Linked DNA regions of Anolis sagrei. The protein of the gene in region 1 interacts with the protein of each later gene in a pairwise test. Links are inferred from orthologs where the notes say so. Each region holds a gene or a part of one and is shown on either strand. Other genes may lie near its edges.

Region 1 (7,662 bases):
GATCCCCATAAACCTGGCATTTATGTTCCAAAGACTTTGGAATATATCAGAAAGGAAGAGGTCAGCCTAGACTATTGGAAGTTGATGCCCTTCTGACACATATGTCTCTGGGAAGAGAAGAATGACACCTTTCCTCAGAGGGAATGTATGTGTGCATATGTGACTTCAAGTTTCCTGCTGACATAATGGCAACCTCATAAATTTCACAGGATTTACTTTGTCAAGGCATACACAAGAGCAGTTCCTTTTTCTGAAATGTAGTCTACAACACCTGGTATTTGTTGGCAGGCTCCTACCCAAGTACTAACCAGGGGATGACCTTGCATAGCTTCCAAGATCAGATGGGAACTGTTTTCTTCAGGGTATTTGTGGCCCTACATACATAAGAAGATAAAACAAGACTGTGAAGCTTTCCACAAGACAACTCTCTCTGCTAAGTGGTATGTTGTGCTAAATCTCTCTTGGCCCTTTTAAAATAATAAAGCAAAAATCGTTTTTTTCAGTACTCAGAAAAATCCTATTCACAGACAATGGAGGGCTCTTCCAGGGGTTTCCGACAGGTTGAACATCTCTTATCCAAAATTCTGAAAAACTCCAAAATCTAAAATTGTGGCTGAGATAGTGATATCACAATTCATGGTGTACTGTACACAAACTTGGTTCCATGCAGAACATTATTAGCAATATTGTATAAAATTACATTCAGTCTATGAGTCTAAGGTGTATATCAAACAAAAATGAATGTAGTGTTAAAACAGTGATACCATCTCCAAGTATCTCAATATTTCAAAATCCTTCCCAAAAATAATAATCTGAAATCTAAAACATTTTTATTCCCAAACTGCCACATGTCAAGGTCATAGTTCTGCAGTCTACTGTGTATACTCATTTACTGTATAATCAAACCTCATGTATAAATTGAGGGAAGATTTGGGAGCCCAAATAATGAATTCTGATAGAGTGGAAGCAATCAGTGCTTCTTTTAGGTTCTCCCAGGATAGACTAAGCTCTTGCTTTTTGTAACTCTACTCAGAGAAGGGAATGGTTCCATTTATTGTAAGAGTTAGGTCACAGTGTGCTCAACACTGGCCTGTGGATAAGTGAAGCCATATTTTTCGGTTGATATTTTGACTAAAATGTTTAGATTTATACACCACTATGTAAGTCAGCTGAGCCTTTCCAGGCTGAACTGCTCTGAACCATAGGCCTGCATCATAGTACAATGATCTTTAGCACATGACTTCCCAACTTGCTGGCCTAAATATGCACCTCTCTACTATAAATCGAAGTCTTTCTCAAAAGTAGGTTTTCCTTAAACCTTTTCCATTCCTATTCTGTCTGAGAAATTTTCCATGATCCCAGGTATATAGGTATATAAAATTCGTATTAAAAAAATCAAACATTTGTTTACTGATAACACAGCCCAATCAAATAAATAAAATAAAATATGGTGTCTTAGCTTTTAGGTCTGTTCCTGGGATTATTCAGGATGCTGATTCTGAAACTTGCACTGGATACACTACTTCAGCTCTAGTTTCTTAGTTAGTTACCATGGTTTTCTGTGGATGAGCAGGTAACAACTAGCAGACGCATATGTTCTGTATCTGAAAAACTAAAGCTGATAGGTGGAAACTGGTGCCATTTTTTGAATCAGCAGGTCAAATATACCCAGAAACAGGGCTAATATATGGGGAACAAAATGTGTGTTGGCCAGTGTAGTAAATCAACATTTGCAAGGCTTGCTAAACAGGCCGATTTTTCCTGTTTATGAAGCACTAGCCCTCCCCTGCCACGGGTTGCTGTGGCTCAGTCCGTGTATATGTTTTGTGTGTATATATAATTGTGTATAAGTGTTTGCATGTGTATGTGCGTGTATATATGGGTTTGCGCATGCTTTGTAATATATATAAATTTGTTTTGTTTTGCTTTTTATGTCTCTTCTGCTGTGTTTTTCAGTGTTTTATGAGTGATGGCCACTCATTGGCCTGATACATGTATTGTGCCCAAATTTGGTGTCAATTCGTCCAGTGGTTTTTGAGTTATGTTAATACCACAAACGAACATTATGTTTTTATTTATATAGATACCTGAAGCCTTTTCTGAAGTCCTAACACCGGGTGCTGTTGCCAACCGACTTCCATAAATGGGTGGCCTTCAGAAACCTTTTACTGGTGTCATATTTTTCCTGATCCGCAGCACTGAGGTAAAGTAAGGGAACCCATTTGAGGTCAGGACGCCCAGTTTTTCAGAAGCAGCATTCTTTGGTATAATTTCTGCAGTTCATTTCGGATGTGGGATGCTGGCAGCACATAGCCAGTAGCAGAAGGGGAGAAATGTGGGAAAGCTGCGTCTCAGGCTGGGTTTACACCAGGCATTGGCAAACTTGGGCCCTCCAGGGTTTTGGACTTCAACTCTCACCATTCCTAACAGTCTCGGGTCCTTAGAGCTGAGGCTGTGAGGAATGGTGGGAGTTGAAGTCCCAAACATCTGGAGGGCCCAAGTTGTCCCATGCCTGGCCTACACTGACAAATGGAGTTCAAAAGGCGTTATCTGGCAGTGTAGATCCAGCCATAGTTTCAACACGGCGTTGTATTTTCCGTGGGCCTGCAAGAGTCCCCGTGCCCCTCGCCTCATCTGGCGTGTCTGAAGGCGAGGACACTGCCAAAGCGCGAGGAGTCACCCGGGAGAGCGCAACCCTCGCAGCCCTCCCTCTCTGCCTGGAACGCAGAGAAAGGGACCCTCTCGGTCCACAGGACCCAAGAAGGCCTCCTCCATTCCAAAGGCCGGGGTGTCTCCTCGTCAGCCCACGCCAGCCTCCGCCCAGGAGCCTTCTTCCTCTCGCAGACGCCGGGACTCACCGGGCCGCGCTGAGTGCTCACGGTGGTCGCCATGGCAACTCCCTCAGGCCGCGGGGTCCCTCGCGCGTCCCCTCGCGCCCTCCTTCCGCCGGAGCCCGTGCCGCGAGCCCAAGTCAGCTGACCGCGCTCCCTTCGCCGCCGCCTGGCCACGCCCCCGGCTCTCCGCTATCCGCCACTGCCCATGCGCAGAAGACGCTCCCACCCCCGCCCCCTCAGCCTCAGGAACCGCTAATCGGCCCCGCGCATGCGCCAAGAGGAGTATGAGCCGGCTGCCAATGGGCGCCCGTCTTTTCCCATCGTTAAGAGCCTTGCGGATGTTGGGAAGAGCGGACGGGCGCGTGCGCGCCCCCGCGCGAGCCTAGTGGTCCTCAGTTTGCTTTGAAACACTAATAACGGCTGCGCAGTAAAGCCAATGATGGGCGACAGCCTTTTGAAACTGGTGCTCAGTGACGTCACAACGTTGACCCAGGCAACGCGCTGCAAAGGGGAGGGGCGCTTCTGCTGACTCACAGGAGGGAAGCCACGCCCTCGGCGGATCCCGATTGGCCGCCTTTGCCGGAGTGGGCGTGGCGCCGTCCTTAGTCCTCCAAGGCCATAGATCAGAGGAGGAAGACGTAGATGGAATCAGTTCGGATGGGTTCTCTTCACTTCCATATAATATGTGTAGTTCGCTCACTCCGGGCAGCCTACACTGTAGGAAGAATGCAGATTGACACCACTTTAATTGCCATGGTTGAATGTCTATGGAATTATGGCAGTTGTAGTTTAGGGAAGCACCAGCACTATTTGGCAGACCTTGTAAAACTGCAACTGCCATGATTACATGACTGAGCCATATAGCAATTAAACCAGTGTCAAAGTTCTTTATTTCCACAGTGTAGAAGCACTGTAGCTCTAGCAAAGACTCCTGTCTCCTCTGAATGAATGCCTGGAGGAGGTAATGGGCTGGAGGAGGAAAAATAAATTGAAACTGACTCCAAACAAGACAGCGGTACCTGCCACCAAGGGTCCTAACTTGAGGATGGAGGTGTGTCAACCAGACCTGGATGAAGTTACACTCCCCCCGAAAGATTGTGTTTGCAGCTTGGAGTGCTCCTGGACCCAAATCTCAGCCCAGGGAGATGTGACCGTCAGGAGTGCTTACTGCCAGCTGCACCCCTTCCTAGATTTGGGTGACCTGAAGGTGGTAATGCACATGCTGGTAACCTCAAAGTTGGACTTCTGCAATGCACTTTACATTGGGCTACCTTTGTACCAAGTTCGGAAACTCCCGATTAGTTCAGAACACAGCAACTAGATTGGTTACAAGAACATCCAGGAGTGAGCATACTATACCTATACTAAAGTCATTCCACTGGCTGTCAATTAGTTTCTGGGAGAAGTAGAAAGTGTTGGCTTTGACCCTTAAAACCCTACATGCATGGCCATAGCCAGAAAAAAAAATTGGGGGTGGGGTGAAACTTTTTTTTTAGCAAATTGTGAAGAGTAGTTCCATAACACAAAATAATTTAAATACTATGGTTCATTCTATATTTTATATAGGATTAATTAAATCAATTTTCTAGTTTAGTTACAAAGTTTAAAGTCTTAAAATAACTGAAAATGACTGTTAATTTGTAATTTATACTTACAAAAGAATACCAAAACGTCTGTTGGAAACATTTGAAAAATGTTTCAGTACACCTTGACAGAAATCAGACTCCACTGAAAACTTCAGTGGACACTCAAGAGTGCAAGTCCAGTTTAACTTTCTTGCCCCATTGTGCTCATGTATGTTTTCAAACGTTTAAGAGTTGAAAACAGCCTATATATAGGCATAGCAATGGGAACCCTACTATCTGGAAAAGGGGAGCAGGGGAGCAAGGAGGGGAAGGCCTAATTCCCCATCAGGAACCTGCCTCCAGCTCACACTGAAGCAAAGGGCACAGCAGGGGAAAAGCAGCCTTAAATAGCCTGCAGCTCCGCCCCTGTCAACTACACCCACCAAGTCTGGTCTCCTTCATGAGAGCCTTCAAATCCCCTCCCCCCCCCCTCCGTCTCAATGCCTTAGCCTTTGCCTGCCAGTTATGGATGGGCCAACTTGGTTGTATCCACTATATCAGCTATTGCTACAACTAATGATAGTGTGAATAAATTGTCAACATTTGCTTGAGATAGTGCTTGCGGTTCTGGAGATACTTGTTTAATTTTTGCTTCTCATAGACTTCGCATAGGGATTTGGTTAACCAGTTAAATTCATAAGTGAACCGGGGGGGGGGGGTTAACCTGAAAAAAATGGGGGGGGGGACCCCTATCCCCACTCCTGGACTACAACCTTGTCTGTGTTGGGAATCAACCTGTGTTTGTGTTCCAGGATCATGATGCTTCTGATGATGCTTTTGAAGTGGGAAATGATGTGGGCAGTGCTGTGAGATATGATGAGGAAAATGATGGTGCTGAGATGCAAGATGGAGATGGTTTGGTCAATGATTTTCATGCAGACAATGACAGAGAGGCCCCAGCGCAAAGGGCACTTTCTCATGAGAATATTCCTGCTGGGCATAGGGATGATGGTTTACTCCCTCTCTCTGTGAGCTCTCAAGATTTGGGTTTGGAAAACAATCTGACACCTGGAAATTTTAATGAGCAGCCAGAAAGGGAGTTGAAAAACAGGCGGCTGGAGTTCAGCCTGGATCGACAACAAACTCAAGGTTTACACCGTTCCGAAAGGCTTCGTCAGATAAGAGCCAAAGGTGGGGGGAAATGAAACCAGTTTCTGGATTTGGGGATATAAGGTTTGCTTCAAGGGAAAACCTGTTAGATTAAGTTCATGTGCCATGGAAATCCTGTTTTAGGGGTCTTGTTCCTATGGATACTTCTAGCCTTTTGGTGTTGATTAGCAACGCCAGGATGGTCTTTGCATCTTGTTTGATTCCTATCTGGATAAATACTGCCTTAGATTGCTTTTATATCTTTTGTGGACATTGCTTTGAGTTACTGCATTTTACTGACCTTTTACTTTTTACTTTCCTATTTTCTTACAAGCATTTCTTTCTACGGGCTATTTTACTAAGCTTCAATAAAAAGGATTTGTTTTTTCACTCATTGTGTGGTGTGTTTTAAAGTCAGAGGGCTTTTCCTGTTCTGGAGTGCAACAGTCTACATAGTTCAAATTAACTACAGGATCACCTTCTCCCATATAATCTTCCCCAAACACTGAGGTCCTGGGGGGGGGGGGGGCATCTACTCCAGCCAGCCAGAACCTGACTAGTGACTGTCACTCAGAGGATCTTTTAATTGGCCGCCCCAAGACTGTGGAATGACCTTGTGGAGTCAGCAAAAGGCTGAGCAACTAGTCAGCCCTAAAGAACATGGTAAAGAAAGTGCTCAAAATGAACTAGCTGCCCAGCGCTTTAGAGTTGGGGGTCTTGAGGTCCTCTAGATCTCTTCTTAAAACTGTGGGTCCCAACCTCACAGGCAGCCAGTGTTATAACAGGAAGAGCCAATTCTCTTTCACATTAGATTGTCTGAAACAAATGACAGTTACCTCACATTTAGCATTGGCCTCCCACAACCCCTTGTGTAATTCCAGTCTCTTCAACAGAACAAAGACAACTTGAATATTAATCTAAGTGCTGTACTGGGATATAAAATTTGCTCATTTTAAAGCCTAGTTAAATAATATTGTTTCCAGCTGCTAAGATCTGCAGCATTAATTCAGTCATTAATTAAAATTCATGCAGCAGATCCCAACAGCTGGAAATAGAATTGTGCAATTAAGAGCTTTCTAAATTTATAACACATTTTTATGCATCATTGTATTGCACGTATGAGAAGATGCTCTGTATTATCACTGTGCTGGCACCCATAAATAAAATGATTATGATGTCATGTAATTAACAGGGCATAGAAAGGTGGCATTCACTTGAATGTGGAGGGGTGACTACCTCCCCACATGAGCAATGTGACTGGATTCAATTTAGTCAGCCAGGTGTGAATGAAAGGTTTATTTAGCCATTCACAGTCTTTTAATTCCAGTGAGAGTTGGGGGGAAAAATCCTGTTTTTTAATTCTGTTAGGACAGCAGAGCCAGGAAAAAATAAAACTGACTTTTGGTTCAATAGAGATTATTCCAAAAATGGATTGTGAATTGGTTTTATACTGTGTCTTGTATTTGTTTTTTCCTATGTTGTACACCGCTGTGAGTCGCCCCCGGCTGAGAACAGCGGTATAGAAGCAAAGTAAATAAATAAATAAATAAAAATCCTCAGCATGCTTCAGCAATGCTGTGTTTCATTTAGGGGGAAGTTTCTCTTTGCTGTGACCATGAAATAGAATTTCACTATTTTTGTGAAATTTTAACAAGTGGGATTGCATGATAAAAGAATGGGATAAAATATTTTAATTGAAATAAATAAATGGTAGGCAAAATTTCCTACAGGCTTTAGACCCTATCTGATCTCAGAAGCTAAGCAGGGTTAGCCCTGGATAGTACTTAGAATGGAGACTCAAGGAATACCAGGAGCTCTAGGCTATGTTTCAGAGGAAGCAACTGGCAAAACTGCCTTTGAGTATTCCTAGCCTAGGAAAAATTATGAAATGGATAGGGTCGCCATCTGAAGGCACATAAATACACAGCACTTGTCAGATTATAACTGTGCTACTATGTTGAAATATATGTTCTGTCTGCTATTTTTAAAAGAAGAGACAAAAAACAATTTCCAAAGCTAATTTTTAGGCCCATGGGAAAATGGCTAGTCATGGCTCTGTGTCTGCATTGTCTTTCCTACACTGAATATACTGGAACAGAATAGATAATACTTAC
Region 2 (7,313 bases), on another chromosome or scaffold:
ACCACCACAAGACTCTTTCCACTCCTATGTTTTGACACTGAAACAGATTAATGCAGTTTTCTCTTTCAACTGAATGATGGCTCAAACGATACAAGCTGTGGCTTGTGAGCACATACAAATCACCTTAATCCAGTCACTCTCTTTCTTATCCTAACAATAAGACCAGTGTGCCCTTTGGGCCACTCCAGACGAAAGCAACTAACAAGCCAATAACCATCCCCAGCCAAGGGACAGCATTCTGGTTGTGGATGTTGGGAGCTGATGTAAAGAGAAAGGTAAGAGTCGATGTGATAACCCTGTTTAAATATGATGACATTTAAAATGATGTCATAAAGAACAATAGATTAAAAAAATAAGAAAAGAAATTCCACCTAAACATTATGAAGAACTTCACGATGGTAAGAGTTGTTTGGCAGTGAAATATACTGCCTTGGTAAAGTCTCCTAGCTGTGGCTGGATGGCCATCTGTTGGGAGGGCTTTGGTTGTGTTTTCTTGCCTGATTGATGGCCCTTGTGACCTCTTCCAACTCTATAATTCTAGGGCTACAGCTACACAGTAGAATCAATGCAGTTAGACACTACTTTAACCAACACAGTTCAATGTTATGGAATCATGGGAGTTGTAGTTTGACAAGGTCTTTAGCCTTCTCTGCCATGCGTCCATAGCACTGAGCCATGATAGTTAAAGCGACATCAAACTCCATGATTTCTACAATGTAGAAGCAGCCAGTGCTGTGGAATCATGGAAGCTGTAGTTTTATAAGGTCTTTTGCCTTCTCTGTCAAAGAGTGCTGGTCCCTTACAAAATTACAACTACCAGGATTCCACGGTAGTTGTAGTTTGGTAAGGGACCAGCGCTCTTTGGCAGAACTGCCTTGAGTCGTCGATAGGCTGAGAAAAGCAGTATACAAGTATAGTAAATAAATAAATAAATAATTGGTGTCAAACTGCATGGATTCTACAATGTACTAGATACACCATAGGTCCAACCCAATGGCCAGGAGAAAGTCTTAACTTAAAGGGAGCAAGTACTTGGAGATTTCAAGCAAGCTTTTAATCCCTTCCCCCCTCTATTATTTATTCTTTTGTTGATGTGTTTGGGGTTTTTTGTGTCAGGAGTGAATTGAGAAACTGCAAGTTGCTTCTGGTGTGAGAGAATTGGCTGTCTGCAAGGATGTTGCCCAGGGGATGCCCAGATGTTTTACCATTTTATGGGAGGCTGCTCTCATGTCCCCGCAGAAGCTGGAGCTGACAGGTGGAAACTCACCCACTCCCCAGATTCAAACTCCCCGGATTCGATCAGCAGTAGTTCACCTCGCATCCAGAAAGCATTGTGAACCCTACCAATGATGGATCTGGGCCAAACTTGGTACACAGGCCCAACACTCAAATAACCCAGGCATAGCTGGTCCCCAAGCTAGTCTATATAAATAAAAATGTAATGTTCGTTCGTGGGATTAACGGAACTCAAAAACCACTGAATGAATTGTTGCCAAATTTGGACACAAGACACCTAGCAACCCAATGTATGCCCTTCATTTAAAAAAATTGATTTTGTCATTTGGGAGTTGTAGTTGCTGGGATTTATAGTTCACCTACAATCAAAGAGCATTCTGAACCCCACGAAGAATAGAATTGGGGCAAACTTCCCACAAAGAACCTCTATGACCAATACAAAATACTTAAGGCCATCAAGTCCAACTCACTTCACCAGGGCAAGAAAACGTAATCAAATACTGGGTTGCTGTAGATTTTTTCGGGCTATAAGGCCATGTTCTAGAGGCATTCTCTCCTGATGTTTCACCTGCATCTATGGCAAGCATCCTCAGAGGTAATACTGTTTACCCACAAGCATAAAGAAATTACATATATTAGAAACAACACTTTCTCATTAAATTGTCAAAAGCTTTCATGGCCGGAATCACTGGGTTGTTGTAGGTTTCTTCAGGCTGTATGGCCATGTTTTAGAGGCATTCTCTCCTGACGTTTCGCCTGCATCTATGGCAAGCATCCTCAGAGGTAGTGAGGTCTGTTGGAACTGTTTTACTAGTTCCAACAGACCTCACTACCTCTGAGGATGCTTGCCATAGATGCAGGCGAAACATCAGGAGATAATGCCTCTAGACCATGGCCATATAGCCCAAAAAAACCTACAACAACCCACTTTCTCATTACTTTATTTTCCAGATCAGCAGACTGAGCCACAGCAATGTGTGGCAGGCGACGGCTAGTATAATATAAATATCATAAGGAAAGAAGCTTCATTCCTGGACAGCCTGAACCTGGAGTCGAGACAACTGAAGTTCTTTTCGCTTCCTTTCCAATTCAAACCCAACCCCGAAGTCCATCTATGCCAGGCATGGGCCAACTTGGGTGTTAGGAATTGTGGGAGTTGAAGTCCAAAACACCTGGAGGGCTGAAGTTTGCCAATGCCTGATCTCCACTGTACAATGAATACGGCTTGGACCCCACTTTACCTTGCCATGGCTGGATTCTATGGAAGAGTGGGAGGTGTCGTTTCACAAAGTCTTAGCTTTCCCTACCAAGGATCCCTCTCCCCAACCCTCATGCTTCCATAGCAGTTCAAGTGGAATCAAACTGTATTAACTCTACAGTGTAGATGCCCTTCCGTTGGCAAGAAGAGAGGAGGGCTTATCCTTACCGATCAGGTGCCCCACGGCGGTACCAAAGGGGTCCTTCTGGCTCTTCCCGAAAGCCATGTTCTGGTCTCCCAAAAGAAAGAGAGGGACTTGGCCCGGGAGTCGCTGCTGCTCCTGCTCCTGCTCCTGCTGCTGCTTCCTTGGACTCGGGCTCCTGCCGTTTGGGAGCCAGGCTCCGTCTCCGCTCCAAGGAGGAGGAGCCAGAGGGAAGCTCCAGGTGGGGCTCCTGGCCGAGGATCCTCCCCGGGAAACGCAAGAGAGAAACACACAGAGAGAGAAAGAGGGAGAGGAGGAGAGAGAAGGGGCGCAGCAGCCCTGACCACGCAGAGGAGGGACTTCCTCTTTCTCCCCCAGCCAAACACGGCTCAGGATGCATCTACACTGTGCAATGAATAAAGTTGAACTGCTGGGGCTCAATGCTATGGGAATCCCGGGAGTTGTAGTTTTACAAGATCTGTAGCCTTCTCTGCCAAGGCGTGCTAGTGCTTCAGCAAACTCCATGTGAAAAGGGCCAGCCCTACCATTAGCCATGTGGCACGTGCTTTGCAATAGCATTGGCAGCCTTCTCTCTCACGGTTTATTTATTTATTTGCTAGCCTTCCCCTGCCACGCGTTGCTGTGGCCCAGTCTGCTGATCTGGAAAATAATGAGAAAGTTTTGATTTCTAATATATGTAATTTCTTTCTGCTTGTGGGTAAACAGTATTTCTCGTGTCAGGGCAGCCAGTCAATTATATTACATTTCTAACAGAACAAAGCAAACAAACAGAGAAAATACAAAATGTGTGAGTTTGGTAGTTGATTAAATGTCCTTTGACCAGTATCTGGCCACTTGGAGTGCCTCCGGTGTTGCTGCAAGAGGGTCCTCCATTGTGCATGTGACTGGGCTCAGGTTGCATTGCAGCAGGTGGTCAGTGGTTTGCTCCTCTCCACAATCGCATGTCAAGGATTCCACTTTGTAGCCCCATTTCTTAAGGTTGGCTCTGCATCTCGTGGTACCAGAGCGCAGTCTGTTCAGCGCCTTCCAAGTCGCCCAGTCCTCTGTGTGCCCAGGGGGGAGTTTCTCATTTGGTATCAGCCATTGGTTGAGGTTCTGGGTTTGAGCCTGCCACTTTTAGATTCTCACTTGCTGAGGTGTTCCAGCGAATGTCTCTGTAGATCTTAGAAAACGATGTCTGGATTTAGGTCATTGACGTGTTGGCTGATACCCAAACAGGGGATGAGCTGGAGATGTCTCTGCCTTGGTCCTTTCACTATTGGCTGCCACTTCCCAGCGGATGTCAGGTGGTGCAATACCGGCTAGACAGTGTCATTTCTCCAGTGGTGTAAGGCGCAGACACCCCGTGATAATGCGTCATGTCTCATTAAGAGCCACATCCACTGTTTTAGTGTGGTGAAGCAGAAGCAACCAGCATTGTCACTTGGTGAGGCACCAGAACTCCTTGGAAGATGTTGAAAAGTTTGTAATACACTGACATTTAGAGTGGTGACAAACTGCATCAATGTTATGGTGCAGATTCACCCGTAACATTCTTTATGACTTTGAATGACAACCAACATGTCCAAAGCTTTGAAATTTGCAACCCTTCTGCAGTTGCACAGACACTACTTTAACTTTGTTTTGTGGGTAAGAGTGATGTATGATGCTATTCATACACAAACACATGTATTTGGAATATAGAGACTCACTGAGAAAAAAATGGATTGCATAAATGTGGATAGTCGAGGCTACTTTCTTAGATGTATGGATATTCCAGATTAACATGGCAATGCTTTTTAATTCTGCCCTCATATTTTCAAATCATAGGACGGTTCAGGACTCTTGCACCTTCTCCACTGTCAAATTAAATCCAGATTATCTGCTTTGAACTGGATTATATGACAGCGTAGACTCATATAATCCAGTTCAAAGCAGATAATGTGGAATGTCCGCTTTGATAATCTGAATTATATGGCAGTGTAAAAGGGACCTTTGTGGACAGGTGGAGAACTTGACCTCTGAATGTCTCAGTTCCATTCCCCCATCTTTTCTTTTAAATGTGAGTTTCTGCATCCATGGATTTACAGCTTGAAAATATTAAAGAAAATTCCATAAGCAAACCTTGATTTTGCCATGTTATATAAAGGCCATTGCATATAATGGAACTTGAGCAGCCATCACTTTTTGTATTTACAGGGGATCCTGGAACTAAACCTTGTGGATACCATATGTGGACAATGCTAGACTTCTGGAAGCAAAACAAGACTGTGAAAAGGGCCAGTCCTACCATTAACCAGGTGGCACATGCTTTGCAGTAGCAATGACAGCCTTCCTTCTCACTGTTTCTCATGGGCTCACCAGCAGTCCTTCTCCAGAAACCTGTAACTCACTATAATTACCCGTAAACTCTTGTCTGCTGCCTCAGTATGGTGGAGGAAAGAACGCAAAATATTGTGAGTTTCTTTCACTTTTTATTATGTTATCACATCAACATGCCTAGATAAAGCAGCCTTAGATAGACATTAGATACATCAGCATACATAATTATTGTCTTTCATCAAATCCTTTTTGACTTAGTGTGAACATAAAGTGAACCCAGCACAATATTTTTATTTAAATATTTTTAATTTTTATTTGCATATTTATGAAAAAGAACTGCAATTAAAAAAATCTATACGCATGTAATGATACACATAAACACATGCATTTTTGAGCAATATTTCCTAACATCTGTACAGTAACTGTACCTAACTATGCATAGGATTTTTTCAGCAACATTTTCTCAGAGGATTGTTTACCATTTGTCTTCGTCTGAGACAGTGTGACTTGCCCAAGGTCACTCAGTGTGCTTCCATGGTTTAGTCCAATACTTGAATCACTGAACCTCATTGGTTCCAGTTATCAAGATACATTATTTCTATTATTTTTATACCAATGTACTCTTTTTCCATTTTGCATAATATTGTCTTCTCTCCTTGGCAGAGGCTTTCTAGGATTTCATGCAATGAAACCCACTTCCCTGGTCCTTTAAAGTGGAAATCCCAGGGAGCATGTACACTGTAGACACCTCTTGAACTCCCATCCCTCAATGCTTTGGAATCCTTTTGCCTTCTCTGCCAAAGAGTGTTGCTGCCTCAATGAACTACAGCTTCCATTATTACATAGCACTGAGCATGGACAAAGTGGTTTCAAACTACATTAATTTTGCACTGTAGATGCACCCCTGGAGATTCAACTTATATCCTTCAAAGTGCATGACATTGATTAATCTGCTGTCACTTGTCCTACTAACGTAATGGCCGTGGCTGAAAAGGAAGCCCTTGTTGGGAACTTGGGTTGGATTCAAACACTAAGACTTCTTTATTTTTAGATGTAATTATTTAACTCCATTCCAGGGTGAAAGCACTGCACCTGATGATTTTGGCACACCAAAGCTTTGCTAAGAAGCCAGGCTGGCTGCTTAGTTTCAAGCCAGATGGCATCCTTGGACAACCATAAGTCAAGAGTCACTGAAGGCTTTGTTATCCATCTTTTTTGCAGATTTCACATGTAGGTCTTGGACATTGTTGAGGGCAAATCTCTAGCAAACAGTTGGCATTTCTGGTGCTGCAGGTTGAAGAGGGGAATACAGCTTCAGACAGTGGGATGCGAGATGGAAATGTTCCATGGCATGACAGACTGCTGTGGGATAAATAAAATATCAACTGGGAAAGGCGCTTCCAGGTGAAAGTCTTCCTCCCTTCACTACCAAATGAAAGACATGTTACAGCCCTTTTGCCATTTCCTCCTTTACACATTGTGTGCGGAAACAAAAATAAATGAGATGTGAGAAGACATAAGAGGATTGCAAGTAGACGACCACAAACTTTGGAGTTTTATATAATTTTGTGAACAAGGAAGAGTGTTTCTACAAAATAAAATTCCTCTAAAGTGGGCAATCACTTTGCTTCATTCACAAAATTGTATAAGAAGTCCAAACATTTTTTGGGCCTCAGGGGTCAATTTGTGTCCCCAAATGCCATCCAGGGAGCGTGGAAGCCATTTCCACAATGTCTGAGGAATGAGAGAGGGCTTTTTTGAATAGGAATGGGCTTCCACTGACTTCTCATTGTTAAAACAGGACTCACCTGGGCTTCAAAACATGGCGAGAATGTCCTCATGTCCTTTAGACGACATTTTAGGGTAAAATAAAACATTTTAAAGTGTGTATTAGGGGATACTGTGCAGGGTGTGCCCTCTTTCATAATTGGTCATTTATGTGGTAAAGTGAAATGGTTTTTCTAAAGTAAAGAACTTTGAAAATTAAAGTACATAGGCTCATTACATTTAATTGCTTATAACTTGGAATCACTTATGGTGTAGAATTTACCAGAAATGTAAGTCAACCTGAGAACTCCTTACATGAGTTCTGAAATGAGTTTGAAAAACTTACTTTCCTAAACTGCAGCTCTCAGGATTCCCCAGTCAGCATGGGGGATTCTAGAAGCTGTGCATATACAGTCACCTCTCCATATGTTGGAATTCAATTATGCTCTACATAAGAAAGCAGTGCTCATGATAGGAAATGGATCAAAAGTAGATAGGGTCTAAGTTGGTAGACTGACTCTCTCCCTGTCTCCATCTGTCCTGCCCCCACCTTTGATGTGTAGACTGATATTCTCAGGGCAACTCCCC

Evidence for each region.
Region 2: the proteins of TOLLIP (region 1) and TOM1L1 interact in binary tests that used the Homo sapiens proteins (3 or more experiments, as listed by UniProt). The link is inferred for Anolis sagrei from reciprocal best matches to the Homo sapiens genes TOLLIP and TOM1L1.

The regions. Positions count from the first base shown.
Region 1 is NC_090021.1:243,081,954-243,089,615, forward strand, and holds the start of TOLLIP (toll-interacting protein), read right to left. Parts: upstream 3,020-7,662; 5' UTR 2,892-3,019; coding exon 2,859-2,891; intron 1-2,858. UniProt on the Homo sapiens protein: Component of the signaling pathway of IL-1 and Toll-like receptors. Inhibits cell activation by microbial products. Recruits IRAK1 to the IL-1 receptor complex. Inhibits IRAK1 phosphorylation and kinase activity.
Region 2 is NC_090022.1:142,895,272-142,902,584, reverse strand, and holds the start of TOM1L1 (TOM1-like protein 1), read right to left. Parts: upstream 3,008-7,313; 5' UTR 2,721-3,007; coding exon 2,663-2,720; intron 1-2,662. UniProt on the Homo sapiens protein: Probable adapter protein involved in signaling pathways. Interacts with the SH2 and SH3 domains of various signaling proteins when it is phosphorylated. May promote FYN activation, possibly by disrupting intramolecular SH3-dependent interactions.